Drosophila melanogaster: one gene and its partners. The protein of the gene in region 1 interacts with the protein of each later gene in a pairwise test. Each region holds a gene or a part of one and is shown in the gene's direction. Other genes may lie near its edges.

Region 1 (4,964 bases):
GGATTCATCAATGGGCTCTGTGAGACTTACGTTAAAGAGCATTAGGGGTATTGCGAACTTGTTCCGCACCACCAGCGATCGTTTTCTTTCCAGCGGTTCACCCTCGACGCCTTCTGGCGAGGTGGTCACAAATCTGGTGGCATTTCTGTCGAAGGTGAGCCCTCCATGGAAGATTTCCGCTCGCACCAGCACTGTAAACGGCTGATCCGCACCAGGACTGGTACTGGACTGGTTACTGTTGATCACCAGCAGATCATTAATGATCTCATCGCCTTCGAATAGGCTGGCATCCAACACTATACTTGTGTTGTTTGCGTCAAACGAGAGACCCGGAATCTGGCGAAGGTAACTGCCGAAGAGTTGGCGACTCTCGTCGTTCCGAACGTCCAGCTTGAACTGTAGTGCATCCGGAGCATTTAAAGTGGCCACACGGCCAAAGTCCGCCAGTGGATTGCGGGCGTACACAGAATGTCGTGGCAGAATCTCAAATTCGACAGGAATAAAAATATCCAGTTCCTGCTCTGCGACCTTGATGCGTATGTAGGCGCTGTGATTGCCAGCTGTGCGGCCGTGAAATGATATCCTAATGACCGGCTTTAAAGTGTGTGGAGGAATTTTCCACAGATTTTGTGGGCCCTCCGAGCCACCGCTGGGCAACTCTAACTGAAACTCGCCGCCGCTGCTGTATATCTAAAAGACATGGTTATGGGTAATATACCTACAGAGTGTTGATTAAAACCTACCTCAAGTATCTGCAGCGGCCGCTCGTGCGGGTTGTACATGTGAATCTCTGGCGTGAGTGTCGCATTCATGGGCGCCTTAATGCCCACCAACGGCTTTAGGCGGTACGGGCACTCACTGCCCTCGCCCTGTACCGCCAACTCGGCCTGGCCGAAGGAGGTGTGAATGAGAAGGTCGGCGGCAATGGCGCCTAGTTGGCGCGGTAGGAACACCACGTTGAAAGTTGTATTGCCTTGCGGCGGCACCTCTCTCGTGCCCAGGAAGCTGCTGTAGAACGCCGGACTTGGTCCGGCCACCGCGTTCAGCTGGAGCGTTCGATTGGAGTGTTGATTGAATAGTGTCACCGTCTGAGAACGCGCCTGGCCGACGGACCACGTTCCAAAGTCTAGACGGGACGGCACAAGCCGAAGGTCCCCCAAATCGTGGATTGGTGCCTCCTGCAGCCCCAGGAAAGTCTCCTGCAGGACCTTTTCACCTTTGGCGCCCAAAGTGAAAAGGAAGATTAGGATGAGCAGGATGGGTTCTGCGAATATTCGCAAAAGCGGCCTCATCTGGACTTGTGTGGGCATGGCGTGCGTTCCCTTGATCCTGGGATGCTGTGTGTGTGTGTGTTCGTGTGGGCGGCGATGGCGCAGCTCCTGGTAACCGACTTTCTGTCCAGCTGCTAATCTAAATTGGAGTTTCCTTGGCGTTGCGCTTTATTTATATTATCCAATATCGCTGGCCAAAAATTATTATCGCTTTTCGGTGTGACCGCCGTGGAATACATAAAACATACCATCCGGCACAGGGAAATACTAATCATATGATCATTTTAAAAATATACCATTAAAGCACAGAATCCTTTTTTAAGGCGCATCAGGTGGCTACATAAATTGCTTGATATATGGGCTTATGTTTAGTTGATTTCTTGCTGGTAGTATAATTTAAGCGTTCAATGGCATGCGATTAAATTTAACATTGTATTGTAGCAGATTATTAAAATAATGAAATATTTATATATTATTAAATATATATAAAAAAATATATATTTAATTTGTTTACTATAAATGCTATTAATATTATAGAGCCTAGCGCATACAGTTAATACTGTATATAATATTACATACTGTTGCGCAGTATTTTAAAACGCGCCAAAAAGTATGCTCGAAAAAAATTAATAACAAAATGTATCGCCATGTATTCGAGGGAAAACAGTGAAAGAGCTATCGAAACTTGGCCATCGCTAGCTAAAGAAACGACAACCGAAAGAAAGTTGCAGTTTAGTTTACGTGTTAAAATTAATCGCAGGTCGTGAAGCTGATTTAACTAAAGTGAGTGCTCTCGTCGCCCGTTAATATACCCGCGTATATACACCCACAATTTCATTGAATAGTGACGAGTACAAAGGAAAACATGACCAAATGAAATTTCGCACAGATCGTTCGGCTTGCTCCACGCACTTACACTCACACACACACACACACACACACACACACACACACACTATAATCACATATTCGCTGAATATTGCAGAAATATTAATGCGAAAATCAGCAAGCATTTTGCAATAATTACTGAAGGCGAAGATTAACAGCTATTTGACCCACGAACGGTGATGCAACAGCCCTATTGATTTTGCCCACTTTCACCGCTTACAACATTTTTAGTTTGGGCTTCGGTTTCGGTTTCGCATTTAGTTTTTTTTAGTTTCACCAGCAGGGCAGCCAATTTGCATACGCATCGGCTAGGCGTGAACTTCGTTTCCAGATGTAAATTAGATCGTGTGTACTTGCAAAGTCATCAGCCCCCTTCAATGTGCGCTCTTCATCGAATTAGATTCCATGCCATTTCCGATTTGCTAGCCATTGGCTGTTCATGTATTTTTGGGAGAAAGTTCGGCCCTCAGCCAAAGTGACCCACTGACTTGACTAACTGGGCTTGATATCCAAGCTGCAATGATATGTTGATAACCGGTTCTACAAAAGGTGCTTCCCCACACCCAACGCAATGGTAATGGTCCAGGGCCAGATCCCGTTGCAGACCTAATCTCTGGGAAACAACCATCTGGTTGAGCGAGAGCCATGTACATATCAACACATAAGCCGAAAATTCTAAAGACCCGAAGCCGTTGGAGTCGCGAAGCTTGAAAGCCGAGGCAGCGCCACGAAATCGAAATCAGAATACGCCTGTTGCTGGCTCATTTTCATGGATGGTGCTGTCGCGCATTCGATTTCAGTTTACTTCCAGACCCGACGACGTGCAGGTTGATTAGCTAGCTGCCCAGCCTGTAGCTACCCAAAGCTGAAGCCGCCCAGCACGCACACTTTGAAACTTACTCGAAACCTATTGCACCTGCACACAGTCGTGCTCTAATCAATTCTAAGTAAATAAATCAAAGTTTGAAAGTACAGACAAAGTCAAACGGTACGCGCGAACACACGAGACCCTCCTTTATTTGTATTTGAAAGAAGGCTATATTAAATCTTAATTGATTTGTTTTTATATATTTTTGTATTTTTGTTTTTTTGTTTTTTTGTATATTCTGTAGCTTCATCATGTCGGCGAAAGCAATCACCGAGGCCTCCGGCAAGGACATCCTGAACCGCCATCTCAACACCCATGGCGCCGGCGCGGCCACTTGCCGTTTTTCCACAGTAAATTCCACGACAGATTGGTCCAAGCTCGCCGTTGACCATCCCTGGCTGCTGACCACGGTGAGTGCCAGTTAAAAATAGCCGCGAAACTCGCGGAACTCGACGATTGCGAATCAGCCGATATGTAGGAACAACAATTGGGCCAGCGACAACAAACGCTCGGCGGGATTGTCATTGAACTTGACCTCGTGGTGGACGCTTCGACCACCACGCCGATGCCGAATGACTAAGCGCGGCTCCTGATAAGAGCGAATTGGGCGCCAGTCGGTCGCGCGAGTTGATCGCTGGAAATTGCGGAGTAGACGGACGGACGCGGGCGCAGACCGACAGCTCACCCCATGGCGCACTCTGGTTTTTATCAGATTGCCGGGGACCCAGTCGTAGGTCGCGTGGCATGGCGTGGTCTTGGCCCCTTTGGTTATCCGCCGGCGGATCAGGCTCACCTCATTTGCGAACACGATAAGCGTGCGTGGAGATTGGGATTCACGATCACGCAGCTATCTCTGATTGACCTTCCGATCGATAGTGGAAAGTTTGGCTGTAGCCAAGTACTTATCTTGAGCACTTATAACGGTTGAGTGGGAAATAAGGGGAAGCTAACATGTTCCGTGTTTGTTTTAGAAAACCTTTATCACCGAAATCCATATGTTCGAAATCTTATCATCAAGTTATTTGTTGATTTTGGAGCGTCTCAATTTATTGACCTTACCTAGCATTGTTGCGCCGCCTGAATTTCTAAAGAATAATTTCAATTCAAATATGCCGGAGATTTTAAAGTGGCGAAGTGTCGCTGAGTCGAGTGGGGGATTCAGGGAACTACTCTACTATCTTTCAAACAATTTTCGCAAAATAATATATTCTATTGAAATGTGATCAGTTAAAACTTATCTATAAGTTGTTTGTTGACTCTAGAGGGAGCGTCCCTATACTTAGTCTTAGTAATCTAAAGGCAGGATTGTGAAACTCTGATTATCAGGAAGGTGTTTTAATTTATGACATGCAGATAGAAGGTATTAACTTTCTGATTTAATAGACTTATTGTCTTGTTGTCACGTTTTCGTTTGAAGTGCATAATACTTTTATTACGTTACTGATAATGATGTTTACCCCACTGAAGGGGGAGAAGCAAACAATCAAACACAATACAACTCCCTTTAAATAGTTTCACTTAGAGCTATTAGTTTAATATTTTGATCTCGTAATTTTATATGCAATTAAGATAGATCCGAAATTTAGTGAGCATAATGGGAGTTCTTTCGGCTTTAATTACACGACAAAGTGAATCGCCTGACGGACATCTCGGATGATATTTCGTAGTCGGACTGTTTGCTCAATTTACACTCGTACGATCTTCTAATAAGCATATGAGATGTGTTTTTGTGTGGGCACAAGTACAAGTTCGGGTAAGGGTACGAGCACTGGCATTGTCATTGGCAATGACGCGGGAACGACCCCTGATGTTATCGGCTGATCTTTTCGACAGATGCTGATCGTTGGAACCGGCTTTTTTACTGACGCGCCGAGATCAGAAGGCACAAGTTCAACGATTTGTCGCTTATTTCATTTATATTTAGCATACATTTAATT
Region 2 (4,700 bases), 5.7 Mb from region 1:
TGTCCAAGGCGTATTTATGTCAACCGGAAGTAGGTTTACTGACCCACGTATACCCGTGTGGCTGGCCAAACGTGGACTTCGGCTTTCTTCGGTGGTTTCTTCACCTAAACCCGACTGGTCAGTTGCCGTGGAGCTCCACGGCGCAGGACGATGTATAAGAAGGTATTTGCCCACGGCGGATTAGTTTTTCTACGAACGGCGAGTGCAGTGCATCGGATCGATGCAAATGCGCGTTGAATTTTTTGGGTATTCAGTTTTTTATTTGAAAATCTCTCACCTTTTTTTTTATGACAATAACTCTACAAGTAACGGTGCATTAAAAATTAAAACCAAACTGCCTAAAATCGGATAGAAATCGTCGGATATATCGCAAACATTAAAAACTTCCAACTCGGTTGTGTAGTGAAAAAGCCCAAAACAATTAACTCGTAGATGTCTCTAGGAATTCCCCGACTTGTGACTCCGTGTGACTCCACTGGGGGTTCGAGTTGGACCCCACAAGGGGCGGGTTTTTGGGGGCTAACACGACATTAGCCAAGGATTTCTCCGGCACTGCCACTTAAAAGTCCCCCCGTTCCGAGGGATTCGTGGCTTTGGTTTGGGTGGTCTGTGTTTGCACACATACCTGTCTTTAGGCGTTATTGCTGCCACTGCCGTTGTTGTCTTGATGTTGCAACAGTGCCCGGCTGGCCAAGGAGTTCGTAGCTGCGGGCCAAGTGTTGTTGACTCCTAGCCGCTGCACAAGGCAACGCGGAATTTGTTGCGGTTTTGACCCTATTCCAAAGCCAAGGAAAGTGCAGTGTACTCGCCGAGGGTCTTATACTCACTCAGTCGAGTGCAGGAAAAGCGTCCTTCTGCCGAAGCCTTTTGCAATATTTATGGGCAGAGACACCTTTCACACAGTGATTAAGTGATCCTAATTTTTGGGCGACGCATAACTATTTTTTGACATTCTAGCGGATAAAATATTCAAACACTTAAAATAAGGATATATTTACTTTCAATACTAAATCAATAGGCGTATTTTAAACTGATTTTTTTGAACACAGTAAAGGAAAGTTTTTATTAATACCTATCATTACGTTCAATCAGAGCTCTTATGTGCAATCTCCAACTCCATAAAACTGCATTAAAGTGAAATGAGCGAAAGTGTTCATTGAAATACATGCGTGCATTCAATAGATACAAGTGGCATTAAAGTTATGAGGCATCCCGAAAAGTATGAAAAATTAGCTGACTGAGCTTCTCGGTGGCAGGCAGTGCGGCGTAGAAGTACAAAAGTGTTGGAACATCGCGTGCCACAGACATACCAACAGGTGTCACAGCCAGCCGGGGGAAACTGGGGGAAGCAATCAAAAGTTGTCTAAGAGGCAGAAAGAGCTGAGAAAGAAGCACACGCCGCACAGATGAACACAACGACATGCAAACGGCTAATGCAGCCGCCTCGCTAGGCGGCGAAATGCGGAAAACTCGCGGAAAAGTCGCGGCGAATTGGCGCCCCCGGTCGCCTTTTCTTTTCGGCTTTTCAGTTCGCCAGTCTCGATATCTCAGCGGGTCTGCGTGTGCAAACTGTTGGGGCACCGAGTGTGTGTGTGTGTGGGGGGGGGGGGCATTGTGTGCTGTTTTGGATTTGAAGTGTAGGCAATATTTCTCTTGAAGGCCTCCATTTTGCTCACTTACCGCTGGTCGGCCATCAGTTTAAGTTAGGCAGCGGCCACGTTTCGTCGCGTTTCCATTATTTGTTGCGGCTTTTCAGCAAATACATTCTATTTCCGAATTAGACTAAACTTAAAACCCAAATGTAAATTATATAATGCGCTCCAGGACCAAACTAACACAGTCAGTGTGGACGTGGCAGGTATTAAAATTCGTTATTCAAGTGTGACCGAGCGTTAATGAGATGCAAGAAAACTGCGTGTAATGCGGCAAGCGATTAAAAAACCAATTCGCAAATAGGAAGCTTAAGCCGCCTGGGAGCCGGCCAACTCCCCCAAAACGCGTCATGGCCAAAACAAAACGAAAGGAACGAAAAGGAGCCGGCCAAGTCACTTCCTTTTGGCCCAAAGTGTGTCACCGAAATTCGAGCGGCGGGCCATAAAATGTAGGTTAAATATTAGGCAGAGGAAAATCAATGCGAACAAAGGCCATTCATTCACACCTTTCCTCCACCTTCCCCCCCAAAACCTTCATGGGCTACGTCATTTCGCTAAAATATCTGCGTACCCAGCCGCACAGCTCCAATTAAACCATCGCCTTCTTCTGGTGATAGGATAGTCTCAGCCCGCTGGCTTCCACATCTGCCGGGTCGTTCGACTTCAAGTGCAGTCACTAATGCGGCAATTTGCAACATGCAACGCCGGTGCAGCCAGCCAAGCCGAAGCCATCCGCCCAAAAGCAAATCCCCATCCCCATTCCCCCCATTCAAGCCTTTGAGGCCTCCTCATCAAGTTATGCTCTCGTTAGCGCCAAGACAAGCGTTTGGGAGTTGGGAGTCCGACTCGGATTCGCATATAGCAGCAGGTGCATGGCATACCATAACGATTCCGATTTCAAATCGGTTTGGTTTCGGGGCGGCTTTATCAGCGCCTCGCACGCAGCTATTTATAGTTGAATGTGGAGTGAAATGGCATTAGAAAATAAAGCCGTGCAGTAATAATTACTCTACTATTTTTGCCACAACCAGTGATGGAAGCGGACGTATCCGGGCAGTTGTACCTAATTACTTTTTTTTAATTGCTGATGAATTTAAATTACTTTACTCAAGCTATTAAAAATTTAGGATATTTGAAAAAAGTTACTTGGTATGAAGACAGAAATTACTTTTATTATTATTTTTAAAAATTCGCCCAGGTAAACATACTCAATACCCTTTTCCATCACTGCGAATTGGCAATGAAACCGGCAGCCCTTCAGTTTCGCTCTCCGGTTTTTGGGACTGCCTACTCCGTGCTCCGTGCTCCTCGTTCCGTTATCCGTTCTCCGCCGGTGAAGGCGTCGCGTGTACGTCTCTCTGACATTGCAAGAGGGCCGGAAGGTCTCGCTGGTCGTCTGTCTGTGGAATCAAAAGATGTGCGCACATGGGTGTTGTGAGTGATTTTTAAATACATTCTGTTGCTTCGAATAAACAGCTCCTGGCGTCATTGGTTTTGTGGCACTTAAACTAAAGCGAAGGACGAACGCGGAGTGTCCTGCGTGGAAATCGGCTTCCAACTACTGCAACCACGACTGAATTTCGCAAAAACGCTGCAACAATGGATAGGAAATCATAGTGAATGCATGAGGGCCGAAGATCGGTTAGCACCCATGTCAAGCCATGCAGCAGACCCTCTCGTACTCATCATCATCGCCATCCCCATCCCCGATGCCCATGCCATCAGCCTCAGCCGCACAGACGCCGCCACCGAACCCGAATCTGACACCGAATCTGAACATACGTCCAAGTACGAACCCAATACCACGACCCAGATCCACTGGAGGCGAGTCCGCGTTCCAGCCGGCCATCATCCCGGTTGATTATAGCTATCGCACCCATACCACCCGCTCCATTCTCTCCGCCCAATCGATGGCACCCTCCACGTTCGCCTCCAATCAGAGCTTTGTGCGCCAGCCCTCGGAGTCGGATGCCCAGCCGTATAGTAGCCTCTTTGGGGATCCGGTTCCACCGCCTCTGCAGCCGGATGATTACTTCGGAACAGCAGCATTTGAGACGTTGCGAAATGGGTCTGTGGAACTGCCCAGCTCCGAGGAGGATGCGCTGGTGGCCGCCATGGCGCTGAACGCACTTATTCCTGCGGCCAGGGAACGCATCTTTCCGAGTGTCCCGTACTCGAGGACTCCCCGAGGATCCCTACTGCCTTATCTCCAGCCACCCGACATCCAGATTCTGCCCAACTCGAGCGGTGGCTCCAGTTCAGAGCAACTGGGCTCACCTAACTATCGGCTCCTGGCCCCCGATGACATTCTGAACAAGCCGGACGTTTATGATTTGGAGAACGAGGTCGAGGAGTACACCGTAGTCGGTCAGAGAATGTCTTTCGATGATGAGGAAGATGAGCCGACGAGGACTCCTAGCCAAGCGCCCGCCAAGTTGAGTGTGTCCAGCATCACGACGGAGGACCACAGGGGGTTGGTATTTGAATACACCAATATATTATCCAAACTAATCCTTCGTGATTACCTCCTCTTAGATTACTCAGTGACTCCTATTCGGGAAGGGATTGGTTCCGTCCGGCGCCACAGCACTTTCCAGAGTTCACACGCATCCCACGATTGCGGCCCAGCTCCAAAATGATTATGTCGATGAAGCAGGATGAAGGACCTCTCTCCCCACTGGCCACCATGATCCAGGACATGAACAGCTCGAGCAGCGGCGGAGAGGAGCGAGTGGCACCCAACCAAAGCAGGCCCGTTAGCAGGGACGTTGTACTCTCACCGAAGCAATATCTGGAGGAACAGTTGGGTCTGGAGAGAGGTAGCCAGAGGCAGTCGCTGGAGGACTATAGAATGCCACCTCCACCGGCAGACCCGCCCCCTTTCCGTAGAACTGACTTGACGGAGCAGGATGACAGCCGCAGTGTGGAGCCTGAACATAGCTTAAAGCGGGAAATGTCCCCAGTTATCATCAGGGATTCAATACCTATGGGCGGAGATTATAGGTAAGGTTATCCTGTGGAAAATATCCATAAAGATAATACATATAT
Region 3 (5,997 bases), on another chromosome or scaffold:
ATGCGCGACTCATCAAAATGGTGTCATATGTTTTTAATCGGGGAAAACAAGGACCAGCAGGCAAACAAAAAAGAAAAAAAAAAAAGAGATACGGGGAGTGTTTGCCCGGTTGTCTGTCGCCTGCGGTTTTCAATTCGAAAAGTTGCAGCCGGTTGCTTATTTTTACAAAAGACAAACATAAAAAAGTTACATTGAATATTGAAAACTTATGTTGCATACACTAACTTGCAAGAGCACATATAAAATATTAGTCTTGAAATGTTCCTCGGAGATAAGAAGAATGAATTTAAAAAATAAGCTGACTTTTTAAATAAAACATTACAAATGTTTAAATTCAGTTTGAAGTTGGGGTCATGACTTGGCTAAGCGTACCTAACTTAACGAAACTCGCACTAAATTTGGTTTGTGCCCTGGAAAGATCTAAATTTCGTTAAATATTTAACGAATCTGAAAAAAGCGTTTAGTCGAGTTACATACCCATTCGCTTTTACTTTTTCTTGTTTTTTTTCGGTATATATTATTCTATTCGGTATATATAAATATTCTGATCAGAACATTCGAATTAATGACCCAAAACTAGGATGCCATATCTCATTTAACTTGTTACTTGCATTTGAATTGCATTCAAAATTGGGAATTATATATGTAATTCCTTAATCCAAAACAATAAAAATCATAGTTTTGTCAAAAGTCTTCAACTAACACTTAATTGCTTTATTAACTAGAGGGGAAATATTCTATTTCTTGCGTTCGTAGCGGAATTTGTAGACGGGCGCACTGTCCTTGGTTCCCGGCTTTATTTTCCTCGGCTTCAGTAGGCGTGGCTGCTTGAGGGTGTTCTTCAGCTGAATCTTCTGCTGGACGATGCCGAGTTCCCTTTCACGCTGCTCGCGTTTCTTCAGCTCGTTGATGCGCTGCTGTTTGATGGGGTTTGGTTCAGTTGTTTTCTACAAAAAATTTAAAGGCAATCGTTACACACAAGTAGAATCATAAATCATAAGTATAATATCAATTATAAATTAGTTTCTCACAAAAGCTTACAACCTCGTTGGTTTTAAAGAGGTGACCTACCGATTTCTTCTTCTTTTCCTCCTCTTCCTCCTCGTCATCATGCTTTAAAAGCCATTCGCCCATGTCCAACTCCATGTATCCGTCTTCGTCAAATTTGATACGTTTGTTGGCTGCTCCCTTAATGGCATCCACGTCCACCAGCGAGGCCTTCAAGCGTTCGATCTTCTTGCGCTCCATGGTGCGCTTCATCACCACGTACTTGAGGTCCTGCGTCTGCATGAGGGCCAATTGCTCGGGCGTGTGCTCGTCCTTCGTGTCCTTCTCGTGGTGCTCATCGTTGGACAGCTTGGAGTTGATCATATGGTGGTAGAACTCATCGGGATTCTTGTTCTGCGCCCGGCGGTACAATAGCTTCAAGGTCTTTTGCTTTTTCTGTGCGTCGATGGCTCGCTTCTTGTAGTCCTTTTTCTTCTCCAGGAATCCCAGATGCTGGCGCGACTCCGGCTGGTGGCGCTCCCTGTGCACCTTCTGGTTGCTTTTCGACGCATTCTTCCACGATGACATCTTCAATTTATGCTAATCCTCGACAGCAATCAAATATGTTCTGTTTTGATAAACGTGCGCTTGGGGAATTAGAGATGCACAACTACTCGATAAATGTATCGCATTGACTCAAAACATCGAATGTGGTGTTAATCGGGAATTTTTAAAAAAATCTCATTGGTAGAAATTCAAGCTGCCTTCTTGAAGACATCAATACAAATCCCACCCGAATTCTACGATTTAAGACTTCGTGTAAACAACATTCATGTGCATTTCACAATGGTAATATGATTGACGATTTCCGTGACATTGTAAAGTAGATAGTTGAGTCGCGACTATCGACAAAGCGCCCATCTCTAAACCGCACACGTGCATTTTGAACGGGCAACAATTTCATTTGCATTATTTACTTCGGAAAACCGGAGTTTTTAAGTGAAAAGTGAACGCAGGAAAGCCGAAGCATGGTGAAGAAGAAAATAGACAACCGGATACGCGTGATGATCGAGAATGGGGTCAAGCTGGGCCACCGAACCATGTTCATCGTCATCGGGGACAAGGCGCGCGACCAGGTTCCCATTCTTTACGACATCCTGACCAAGTCGACGGTCAAGGCGCGACCCACGGTCCTGTGGTGCTACAAGAACAAGGATGAGGCCATCTCCAAGTGAGTATCCAACTGTAGAACTATTACACAGAAACTCAGCTAACTAGATACATTTTTAGTCATGGCAAAAAGCGAGCAAAGAAGATTGCTGTGGGCAAAGTGGATGTCAATGAGGCGGACCTGTTCGATTCCTTTCGAGTGGCCACCACCATTCACGGCAGATACTACTCCGAGACGCACGCAGTCCTCGGACGAACCTACGGCGTGTGTGTGCTCCAGGACTTCGAGGCCCTGACCCCCAATCTTTTGGCTCGAACTGTGGAAACGGTTGAGGGCGGCGGTCTGATCATCCTGCTGCTGAAGACACTGCAGTCGCTGAAACAGTTGTACACCATGAGCATGGATGTGCACAAGCGATTCCGCACAGAAGCCCATCAGACGGTGACCTGTCGATTCAATGAGCGACTCATTCTCTCCCTGGCGGACTGCAAGCGCTGTCTGGTGGTCAACGATGACCTCACCGTGCTGCCACTTAGCTCCAAGACCATCAACGTGGAGCCAGTGAATGTAAGCTGATGCTTGTAAATCTTCTAAAGCAGCTAATACCATTTGTTTCTAAACTTTCAGCCCGCAGGCGCCGGTCGATCGCCCAACGAGGCTAGCCTCAAGGAGCTGAAGGAGAGCCTGCTCACAGTTCAACCAGCAGGAGCTCTGGTTAATCTCTGCAAGACCTACGATCAGGCCAATGCCGTTGCCCAGTTCATTGAGGCGCTGGTCGACAAGCAACTGAAGCCGCCCATGTCCTTAACAGCGGCTCGTGGTCGTGGTAAATCGGCCGCCCTGGGTCTGTCGATTGCCGCCGCCGTCGCCTTTGGCTATGTGAACATCTACGTTACCTCACCGCATCCGGAGAACTTAATCACGCTCTTTGAATTTGTGCTCAAGGGCTTCGATGCCTTGGAGTACCAGGAGCATGCTGACTACACCATTATACGCTCCACCAATGCCGACTACAAAAAGGCGATAATAAGAATAAATATTACGAGAAGCAGCAGGCAGACCATTCAGTACATAGCTCCCAGCGATACTCATCTGCTGAACGCAGCCGATCTTCTGCTGATCGATGAGGCGGCTGCCATTCCTTTGCCGCTGGTAAAGAAGATGATCGGTCCGTATTTGGTATTCATGGCCAGTACGATAAATGGATACGAGGGCACTGGCAGATCGCTGAGCTTGAAGCTCATTTCCCAGCTGCAAAAGGATAACAATGCAAGGCCGCCACTGAAACTGGAGGAATCGATTCGGTATCAGGAGAACGACGACATAGAAAAGTGGCTGATCAACCTGCTGTGCTTGGATGCCAGTACGGTGCCGAGTATTAGCTCGGGCTGTCCCACGCCGGATGCTTGTGAACTGTACTATGTGGACAGGGACGCCCTGTTTTCGTATCACAAGGCTGCCGAGGCCTTTCTCCATCGCCTGGTCTCCATTTATGTGTCCTCGCACTACAAGAACACACCAAACGATTTGCAGATGATGAGCGATGCCCCGGCGCATCATCTATTCTGTCTACTGGGTCCGGTTCAGCGAATGGACGCCCTGCCAGAGATATTGGTGGTTATCCAAGTGGCACTGGAGGGTCAGATCTCCGCCCAGAGCATCAGCGATTCCCTGGGCAGGGGCAAGAAGGCGGCGGGCGATCTGATTCCCTGGAACGTAGCCGAGCAGTATGGCGATCGAGATTTTCCCAAGCTGTGTGGCGTTCGCATTGTGAGGGTAGCCACGCATCCGAATTACCAGAGGATGGGCTATGGCAAGCGGGCCATTCAGCTGCTCAAGGACTACTATGCAAGGAAGCACACTAATCTGGAGGACGGTCCAGTTGCCAGCAAGGATGCTGGTAAAGGTGAGTGCACGCACGCCAATGGTTTATTATGCACTACATAATACTTTAAATTTTGCATAGGTATCGAGGAAGTGGAGGAGGAGGAACTTAGTCTGCTGAAGGAACAAATCCGGCCACGTAGTCGTATACCCACACTTCTGCAGCGCTTGCACGAACGTGTCCCGGAACACGTGGACTATATTGGCACATCCTATGGCCTCACCACCGAGCTGCTGAAGTTCTGGAAGAACGCCGGCTTTGTGCCCGTCTATTTGAGCCAGAAATCTAACGAACTGACCGCCGAGCATAGCTGCATTATGCTGCACACGCCCAATGCCACGCCCTGGCTGGGCCTGTACTACCAGGACTTCCGCAGGAGAGTCCTCAAGTTGATGGGAAAGACGTTCAGGGAATTCGAGACGAAACTCTGTTTGGCCTTGCTGAAGAACAAGTCCGTGGACACGGAAGGTAGTGCACTGAAAGTACTCGATAAGCCAATGCTGGATGTTTACTTCTTGCCGCACGATCTGCAGCGCTTGGAGAGCTACGCCCGCCAGCAGTCCGAGTTTCGTCTAATCATCGATCTGCTCACGGACATTGCCCAGCTGTATTTTCAGGGCAGGATCGATGGTCTGCAGCTTGACCTGGTGCAGCAGGGCATCCTTTTGGCTCTGGGCGTGCAGGGCAAGACTGTGGATGCGTTGGGTCTGGAGCTGAATATGCCGGGTAACCAGTTGTTGGCGAAATTTTTCGATGCCATGAAACGGTGCAATCAGTGCTTCCGGTCGGTACTGGAGGAGCATATCGAAGGCGGCATGCTGCGGGAGGCGGATCTGTCCAAGGGCGAGGAACTGCAACCGCTGACTCTGTCCCTCGACAAGGAGCTGGATCAAACCGCTCAGAAGCTGAGCAAGCAGCAGCGCAAGGAGCTGAAGCGCCTGAAGGCCGAGCAGCTGGACGAATTCCAAATCAAGGGCACCGAAGAGGATTGGTCCAAGGCGCTGGAAACAAACGGAACAGGCGGTGGCAGCGGGCTGCTCTCCGTCAAGAGGTAGGTGCGCCTATTTTTTTTAATAATGTGCTTAATACATAACCACGTTTATTTATTTGTCTCCAGTTTCGTTTTATTATAAACATCACTCAGTTAAAAAAAATATAACTTATTTCGTATTTGCCTCTCTTTCGTTTCAGTGGCGTAAAGCGACTGGATGGACCAATCGAGACGCGTGAGGATGGCGACCTGGCAGCTCCGCTGTCCAAGAAGAAAAAGAAGAACAATCCGAAACAGAGACGCAGTCAGGGCAAGTCCCTGATCTAGAGTTCATAATTTTTTTCGTTTGGGGGGAAAAAGAATGTGGATTTTAATTCTATAGAAAAGTACATATTGTTGTAAGCTCCGTTAAAAATAAAGAGACCTAATAACTGAACTATATCTTGATATTGGCAGTAGCCTTGGCTGCAGCGGCGGCCGCCCTGCGCCGTTCCTTGAGGTCATTATAGCTAACGCCCGGCTCCTTGTGGGAGTTGCGCTCGAAGCGCTTGACCTTGGACTTCTTGCGGCTGACGAGCTTTGTCGTGGGCAACATATTGTTGCGTTGCAGCGTGTGGAAGCGGTCCTTCAGCAGACTGCTCTCAGTCTTCACGTTGCGCAGATTTCCGGCGATATCCTCGGGCAGATTTACGTCTAGGTCTGGCTCCTCGAACTTGTGACGCCCCAGGCGTTTCGGCTCAAACTTGGCCTTCTCGGCGCGCTGCTTGCGGCGCTTCTTTAGATCATTCAGGTCCTCCTCCTCATCGTCTAGCTCGTGGCGAATCGATTTGATGCTGAATGAAGAAACACAATAGAGATTAGAGATGGACCACAACGCCATCAGTTAGAAACTTACCGTATCAGGTCAGCCGTCTGTTGCTTGAGCTTCCTCTTGAGCTCTGTTTGACGCGCCAGCTCCTTTTG
Region 4 (7,569 bases), on another chromosome or scaffold:
GCATTCGAGTGCAAATTGATTATCAGCTAGCTGAACAATTGCTTTTTACGCATTTACTCAGTTTTAATCACTGTACTGCGCTGTTTATCCAAAGCAATCTGTTATTCAATATTATAAATATATTTCTTTCCTTTTATGTCACATTTTACGCTTGGCCACAAGACGCAAATTCAAAGAATTCGAAAATCGTTTTAAGTGTCACGCACAAAATGCAAGAATAATCAAAATTCGAACATAGAAACTTGCTCTGCCCATTCAAAGCAAAACATCAACTACTAGTATTATGTAATCGAGCTATATGTATAGGTATAGGTAGCCTAGTTGTAGGCATTCTCTACTATCCAAAACCCTATCAACTGTCGATGGCAATCGTCACTAGGAGTGTGAGTCTTAGAAAGGAAAACAAAACAACAGAGTAACTAAAATTGTTCAAACAATCGCCTTTTATTTGTGTGTAAAAATGAAATTGTTACAAGATGATTTATTAACCAGTATAGGGATGTTCTTCATTTGTATTTCACTGCGAATTGTTTCAACGAATTGATCAAATTGATAGATTTATATTTATATATATTTACACCGAGATATGTTAATTTTGTATTTATGTAAAACGGGCAACTGAAAGTTAATTGCAATGCCTTTTTGTTGCACAAATGTTTTATGAAATATGTAGTCTAATTAACACAATTAACTTTAAGCGAGTAAACATTTTTGTATAAAAAAAAAAAACACAAACAAAACCCAATAAATTGAAAAGCAAATTAATGCTATGTGAAATTTGTAACTAACACCAAGTAACGCATTATATACAACATACATTTACAACTACGATTTAATATGTATATTAATTTACTAATTTATTTGAGAAACAATCGAGTATTTTTCGTACAATAAATAACGTGAATTTCAAAGAGTTGAGCTCCAGCTGCGAACTTGTATTTCTTTTTCCTGCTTGCCAGATGTTGTTAACGTTTGCTAGTAATTAGCTGGACACGCAATCGCTCTACTGACACTCATTTGGCGTCTCCCAGGTGACCCAGACTTATGGGCCCGGCCCGGAGAGGTCATTGCCTTGACTCCTGTTTTTGGTAGTTTCTTTTTCAGGGGTGGTTCGCACCCGCCCGCCCCCTGAAAGGGACAGACAAGTCGTCTGGCTGCCAGGGATCAGAGATGGCAAATGTCCAGGTACCAAGACAATGGTCTCAGCTAAATGTGGTAAAATTTAATGGTAAAGTATTTAAACATTTGAACATAATTACAAATAAAATATGAAAATAGCTCGCTTATGACTTCTTTTTTGAAATACTAGGTTTCAGATTACGCTATATATTTTTTTGCTCGACTTCTATAATCTTTTTTTCTTTGTTATACATCCCCCGAAGATAGCCCACCACTCGCAGGGATCTATGAACGCTCTATGCTGTTTGCATAGTGGCGTAACCACCACTATCCAGTGACGCCATAGCATTTGAATTTTCCCCGGAGCAGCGGCAAATACCCCTAATGACCCATAGCCGCTTGGCGTGCGCGCAGTTCTCGTCGAGCGGTCGTGTCGTCTGAACGTCTCCAGTTGTGGCTTTTCTTTTCCATCGGGTCAGACACACCAAGCTAGTGCCAAGTCCTACCGAACTGAGCGAATCGAGTCCAATAATGCGCACTCAAGTGCTAAGTTTTTGTTTAGCAATTTTGCTAATTGTTTGTCTGTTGTAAACGACGAAAAAGACGTATGTAATTAGATGCGGCTGCCAAGTGCCGCGGATCAGAGATGGGTAGCCGGCCGCAGAGGATACGCCGGATTGGTGATAGTCTGCAGATGCTAACCCGGGAAGCCAGAAGCGAAGTGGTACGCTACGAACGTAAGTGGTTTTATCAAAAAATGCGCATACGCCCTGTAGAACATGCTTGAATCATCCAAGCTTAAGTGTTGAAATCACTGTACAAATATTTTCAAATAACTTTTAAATGATGGTAAGATGTTTAAATTGCAAGCATTTTTTTTTATAAAATAAACTTTACTAGTCAAGTTCGTTTCGAATATGATTGATCACCACCATAACTCACCTGAAACCTTGTAACTCTGTAATTTATTCATGTACGTCGCATTATCTGCTGTGGATTTGCATAAGGGGACGACGTCATCGCCAGTTTCAACATTGGGGCAAGGAATGATTTGCTTGTTTATCTAACGGTGGCGAAGACCTTATTATGACATGTGTTGATGTGGATTCAATAGAAATCGTCAGGGCTAAAAATGTTTATCGCCTGCGAAAGGCATTCTAACCAGAGGAAATAGTTATTATGGTTTTTATTGGGCGCAACTCAGTCTATAAATAAGTTCCTTGGGTGGTAATTGTTTGGTTTAGGTTAGCCAAGTTTAATAGGAGGTGTTATTTTTGGTTTCCAAATAGGCTTGGAGCGCGATAAGCATGACTTACGCAAATTATAGATTACAGAGCAAGTTACTTTGTAGAGTTACGAAATTTAATATATGTGGTTTATTAAGAAATTGTGATATCATTCAAATCAGCTTTTTGAAAAAAAATGAAAATGAAAATGACGAGACTAGTATTTGCGATAAGACCCTCAAAACTTAAACGGCTCCCGAGTGACGAGCGTTATTGTTAGATGAAGTTTCGCGTTTAGCATAAGGAAGCAGAAAAAAACTAGATGCCTGCCAGGCACGCGATTTGGAGCACTCACATCGACGAGTCCTTCGAAGGCCTTTTGGCCGCTAATTAAGTTCACCTTGGACGTGAAAAAGCGGCGTGTTCTTTCAAGGTCATCGGCGATAATTGCGGCCATGGCAACTGCCCAAAAGCCGAAACAATGGTCTTGCAAACAGAACAGGATATTTGTGTTTCTATGAATATCGGATTAATGTGCGCTTCTGATTGAGGCAGCTCAATAATGGAAGATGCAAATCGAATTGTGCTTTTGTTTATTTATAAAACTGTATAAATAAACATGAAGGGAATAATGAATTTGGCAAATAGCTGGAGACTTTTTAGGGAGTATAAATTCATAAGCGTAGTTAGCAAGGAGTACACAGAAATAAAACAGTGTGACTCATTTTCATTAGTTATGAATAAAATAAATCTGCAAATATATTAAATGGAAATGAGATATGGGTATGTACGCCAAATTGTTTCGTAATTTAAACTACGTTTCAAAGTTATTCTCAAAACCCACATTCGCACCAATTAGAATGTAAAAATAAAACAATGAATTCCCATCCCACGCACGCCGTTGGTTATGAACAAAACAAGAAAACAAAAAAACAAGAAAACAGTCAACAACACGAAAGAACCAAATCAAAACAAAGCCAAACAACCAGTTGCAGATTTTCGAAATCAAAACAAAACTGAAGAAGCTCGCTCCGGAGAGCCGCCTTAAAAGCAACAAACACATAGTGAACTTGAGCTGTAGATATCGCTCTCTGTGGAGCGAATGAGAGCGAGAGAAAGACGAAATCGGCTGGAGAATTATGGACTGGCATATAGTCGCCTCAGTGTCTGAACAACAGTCACGAAAGTCAGACGGATTGCGAGCGAATAGAACGCAGAATTTGGAACCGATTCGGTGCGGTTTTATATCTTTTGGATGCGTGCCCGAACGTCGCGTGGATTAATTTCGTGTTTGGCAATTAACAGTGCCATCGCTTTTTATGCAAATCAGTGATATCGAAGCAGTGTAAATAACCCACATAAATGTCAAATCGAGTATAAGGCGCCTACATCCCCTTCCCATTTCCCACCACAAACCAACCCAAAACTTGACCTTGACTCATGAGCTTAGACGGATGTCACTTTTCCCAAACCAAAAACACCCATTCCGAACGACTTTAAGCCACTGGAAAACACATATGTATGTATGTTTGTATGTATGTTCGAGAACGAAAAGGTGTTAATTTCGGTTCGTTACGTATACGTAATGTGACAGGAAAATAGAAATGGAAATTGAAATCCCGAACAACTGCTGGTCGCGCCAAATGTAAATTGATAGCCAAAGTGTTCGAAATACAATTGCTAAATTCGCCTGGATACCTTTCATATGTACAAACAGACAAACAAATACACCCGCACACTTTCGGTAATTTCAAATCAATTAATCTCAATTATTTCAATCGGTCAAGTGAACAGAATCGAGGCGAAAATCAAAAAGGCTACGCGCTACATTAAGTTTGCTGAAAAGTGGAAGCTTAATCTATGATCGCAATTCTTAATTATATTTCTTATAAATTTCCGTGCGCTGTTTTGTAAATCCCCATTTTTGCAAAATAAATCATTCCCTCTTGATTCGTAGAAATCACATAAACTAAGAAAATTCAAATTGCAAACGATAAAGACTATTGCCCGATAAGGAGGCAAATGAACAATGTTCAAAATATTTCTTATTTGTGACCAACCCTTAATAGCATTCAGAAAGTAATGCAAGATTTTGACAAATTGTTTAACATTGTCTTAATAAGAAATGTTTATGCCCTATTTTTGAAATCCATCAGTCACGTAATTTATTTCCAGCAAGACCCATAAAAATCGCCTTTGGAAAGCAGATGTAAATTAAAAACTATTATTAGAAGTTTTGTGGATAAATACCAAATAAATGTGTTGAAAATATGTTTCGGATGTGAAAAATTAAAAAAAAAAAAACCCGCAATCAAAACTAACATGCCAAAATGGAGCTGATAAAAAAATACAAACAAGGAAAGCTAACCACCAGCGATATTGCCCATATAAATCGTACGTCATATATAAAATATTTTAACAATTTTAATATGCTTACTGTTTGTAGAATAATACTGAGGGCAGCCCTTGGTTCCTAAAATACATTTTTGGGGTCGGCCTTCGGAGGGCGGAAGAAGGTGAAACCCAAAATAAAAAGCAAGATCCATAGAAACATTTAGAAATTCGAATGTCGTACTGCGAAAAGCCAATTGGTTAAATTTGAGGTGAACTGTCTGCTGCTATTGACAGCAAATGTTCAAGTCAATTAAAGCCATTTCACGATTTTGTCCATCAGTCATGGAGGCTGCTTTTTGGGGGCGCGTCTTTCAGCATCAATAAACCGATTGAGTATATGTATTCGAGTGTTTTGAATATTTCGAATGGGCAGAGACCGACCCAATAAATAATTCGATATACGTGAATTCACAGTGGGAATCCTGCTCTTCAACTTGTATATAAATTCATTATGTTTTTTCAATTCATCGGACATAGATTATAGCTGTTGTAACGTTAGTCTCAGTTAAAACACAAGGCCTGCCAGCATTTTCAACTGCTAGCTAAATTTGCCAACTTTATACAGTTTTTATAGCATCAATCAACTCATTAAAGGTGCTAAATTGGCCAACAGCTTTTTGGGTCCATACGCTAATATAAACTTTGTTGTGTTTGAATATAAACAATTTCACACTTGTCTTGCTGGGTCTGCCGATCTTCTTCCTATAAATGTGTATAGTTCATTTGATGCAGCTCTCATCTATCGATAAGTGGGGGAAAGTTTATTTGAGTGGGCGAAGTTCATAGTACGTATTCGCCATGTGGTTCCTGTTAATGGCATTAACAAATTGGCTAAAGTGCCAAACTTCCGGGTGCCGTCGTTTGTAAACAAACATTTAGTCAAGAGTGATAGGAAAATTGCTAGCTGCTTGAAATTCCAAATTCCAATAGGATTTTTGAAATGGAATTTCAAAAAATTAACTATGTTGAGTTGACTAATGCTGGTGGAGATTACATCCCAAAGCTATTTGTAATATTTATTTATAGTTTTCTCTGTGAGGCTTCGCCTCTTTTGGGCCAAATACAGTAACGAAACCTGGCCAAAAACGATTGAGCTAACGACTGTCGACTTCTCGACTACCGCTGAATATTATTTACCCATGTTCCGGAGATGAGAGCGAATTCATGATGGAAATGATGTCATTCCGTTGGTGCCACTTTGCGACGGATCGTGCAACGCGCAGTAAATCGCTTCGTATCTATATGTGTATAAATGAGTCGGTGGCCGGCCGAAAAGCAGAAAAACATTCCGCTTAATGCGTTCAAAGCACTTGGGGCATGAAATCTGCGGCAGCAGCTCATGATCTATTCTCTATATAGATGGGCGAACTTGTAAAATACAGCTGTCCATTATGAACCATAAAATGGAATGGTAACATAACATTTTCCCCTTTTTTGACAGGTTCCGCCATGGGACTTTTATTATGCACACCGAGCATAGTCGTATATTTATCCACGAATCTGTTTGTTGACTCTGCCAGCGAATTGTTTTCTCTTTATTTCGAACAATATGCGGGAATATTTGCATCAATTGAAATGAATTTTATTGGGAGGCAGTCACGGTATCGACGTCATCTGAAAATGTTTCGTACCGACTCGTTAACCGAGCTCTACAACATTTGCCATGATATCATACCGCCGATAGAAACTCACACAAAAGCGTTAATATACGAAGACCAGTTCACAGTTAGCGGATTCTTACACAAAACAAACAAAGTCAGGCCGAACATAACTAGAAAGCCATAAATTATCGAATGTCTAACCTTCAATCACTGGTGTTTTCCATTCTCATAATTCCGAAATCCATTGTTCGCAACAGTGCGTATACTTGATCCACGGCTCCTGGCGGAGCCATAAATAGTTGATTTTCCAAATGCAGCCATGTCTATTTGCGATCCATTAATTTCAAATTCAAATTTGTCAGCGGTCCGTTTGATAGAACAACATGTTTGCAATGCTAAAGCGTGCTAGAGGTTAAAAGTATGATTTCATTGTCTAATTTTTACGTCTGTGTGCCATATTCAAAATGCAAAATCTAAATTCAATAAGAGAATAAAATGGAACCAAAGAAAATTCAGACTTTGAATTTTTGTCCAGCTGTCCATGTATTTAAAAATTTTAAATTTTTAAATTACTAATGTTATTATAAACTTTTTTTTGTTTTTTATTCAGATATAGTAATATGTCTCATGGTCATGATAGCAGTATTCTCCATACTATGGAACATAACGCTGATCATGATATCGGGTGATCTGTACGAGGGAATAGTCAGTGCCAAACTTATCTTCCGGGAGCGCAGCGTTGATAAAATGGATGAGTCCAGCAAGGAGATCCTTCATCGGGATTTCATCAAAGCCACCCAGTATGCCTATGGAAGGCAGTACTCCGTGCAGGATGTCACACCTGAATCGCTGAAGAGCGAGAGCCGTAAGATAGCCTAAGAATGTACTTGTACTTTATAATCAAATTAAACACTTCTTAATAGAAATCTTTAAGTTACCGCATATCTACGAATCTATCGAGAATCGACCGAAATTGGAGCGTCTCATTGCTGAAAATAAAGTGGAGGTTATTTCTACCACGACGACTCCTCCACCGAAGATCACTTTCAATGCTGAGGCGGATCGCCACTTTTTGAGCACAAGTAAGAGTAAAGCAGCAAATTTTATTTAATTTGTTAATAATATATATTCTTTTATCACAGTGTCCATCGATGTTATGGCCACTGTCTGGGAAAGAGGACCAGGAGCTCAGTTTGTCTACGTATTTCCCCTCATATCAGAGATCGTGG

Evidence for each region.
Region 2: the proteins of ATPCL (region 1) and stum interact in a two-hybrid assay, tested with the Drosophila melanogaster proteins (one large-scale study listed by BioGRID).
Region 3: the proteins of ATPCL (region 1) and l(1)G0020 interact in a two-hybrid assay, tested with the Drosophila melanogaster proteins (one large-scale study listed by BioGRID).
Region 4: the proteins of ATPCL (region 1) and CG14253 interact in a two-hybrid assay, tested with the Drosophila melanogaster proteins (one large-scale study listed by BioGRID).

What each region holds. Positions count from the first base shown.
Region 1 is NT_033778.4:15,998,278-16,003,241, reverse strand, and holds the start of ATPCL (ATP citrate lyase), read left to right. Parts: upstream 1-1,951; 5' UTR 1,952-2,054; exon of another isoform or gene 2,055-2,061; intron 2,062-2,954; exon of another isoform or gene 2,955-3,147; intron 3,148-3,271; 5' UTR 3,272-3,278; coding exon 3,279-3,437; intron 3,438-4,964. Other genes in the region: Tmem131 (transmembrane protein 131), read right to left, coding at 1-690, 744-1,310.
Region 2 is NT_033778.4:21,673,202-21,677,901, forward strand, and holds the start of stum (stumble), read left to right. Parts: upstream 1-1,699; 5' UTR 1,700-2,101; intron 2,102-2,872; exon of another isoform or gene 2,873-3,128; 5' UTR 3,129-3,313; coding exon 3,314-4,125; intron 4,126-4,187; coding exon 4,188-4,655; intron 4,656-4,700.
Region 3 is NC_004354.4:8,716,184-8,722,180, reverse strand, and holds l(1)G0020 (lethal (1) G0020), read left to right. Parts: upstream 1-1,903; 5' UTR 1,904-2,015; coding exon 2,016-2,218; intron 2,219-2,277; coding exon 2,278-2,725; intron 2,726-2,785; coding exon 2,786-4,064; intron 4,065-4,124; coding exon 4,125-5,094; coding exon of another isoform or gene 5,095-5,098; intron 5,099-5,115; exon of another isoform or gene 5,116-5,234; coding exon 5,235-5,361; 3' UTR 5,362-5,468; downstream 5,469-5,997. Other genes in the region: CG1789 (uncharacterized protein), read right to left, coding at 738-947, 1,072-1,575; CG1785 (uncharacterized protein), read right to left, coding at 5,471-5,867, 5,930-5,997. UniProt on the Drosophila melanogaster protein: RNA cytidine acetyltransferase with specificity toward both 18S rRNA and tRNAs. Catalyzes the formation of N(4)-acetylcytidine (ac4C) in 18S rRNA. Required for early nucleolar cleavages of precursor rRNA at sites A0, A1 and A2 during 18S rRNA synthesis.
Region 4 is NT_033777.3:26,977,013-26,984,581, forward strand, and holds the start of CG14253 (uncharacterized protein), read left to right. Parts: upstream 1-1,528; 5' UTR 1,529-1,650; coding exon of another isoform or gene 1,651-1,710; 5' UTR 1,711-1,765; coding exon 1,766-1,856; intron 1,857-3,505; exon of another isoform or gene 3,506-4,089; intron 4,090-4,501; exon of another isoform or gene 4,502-4,675; coding exon of another isoform or gene 4,676-4,739; intron 4,740-6,950; coding exon 6,951-7,205; intron 7,206-7,263; coding exon 7,264-7,422; intron 7,423-7,482; coding exon 7,483-7,569. Other genes in the region: CG46313 (uncharacterized protein), read left to right, coding at 1,651-1,710.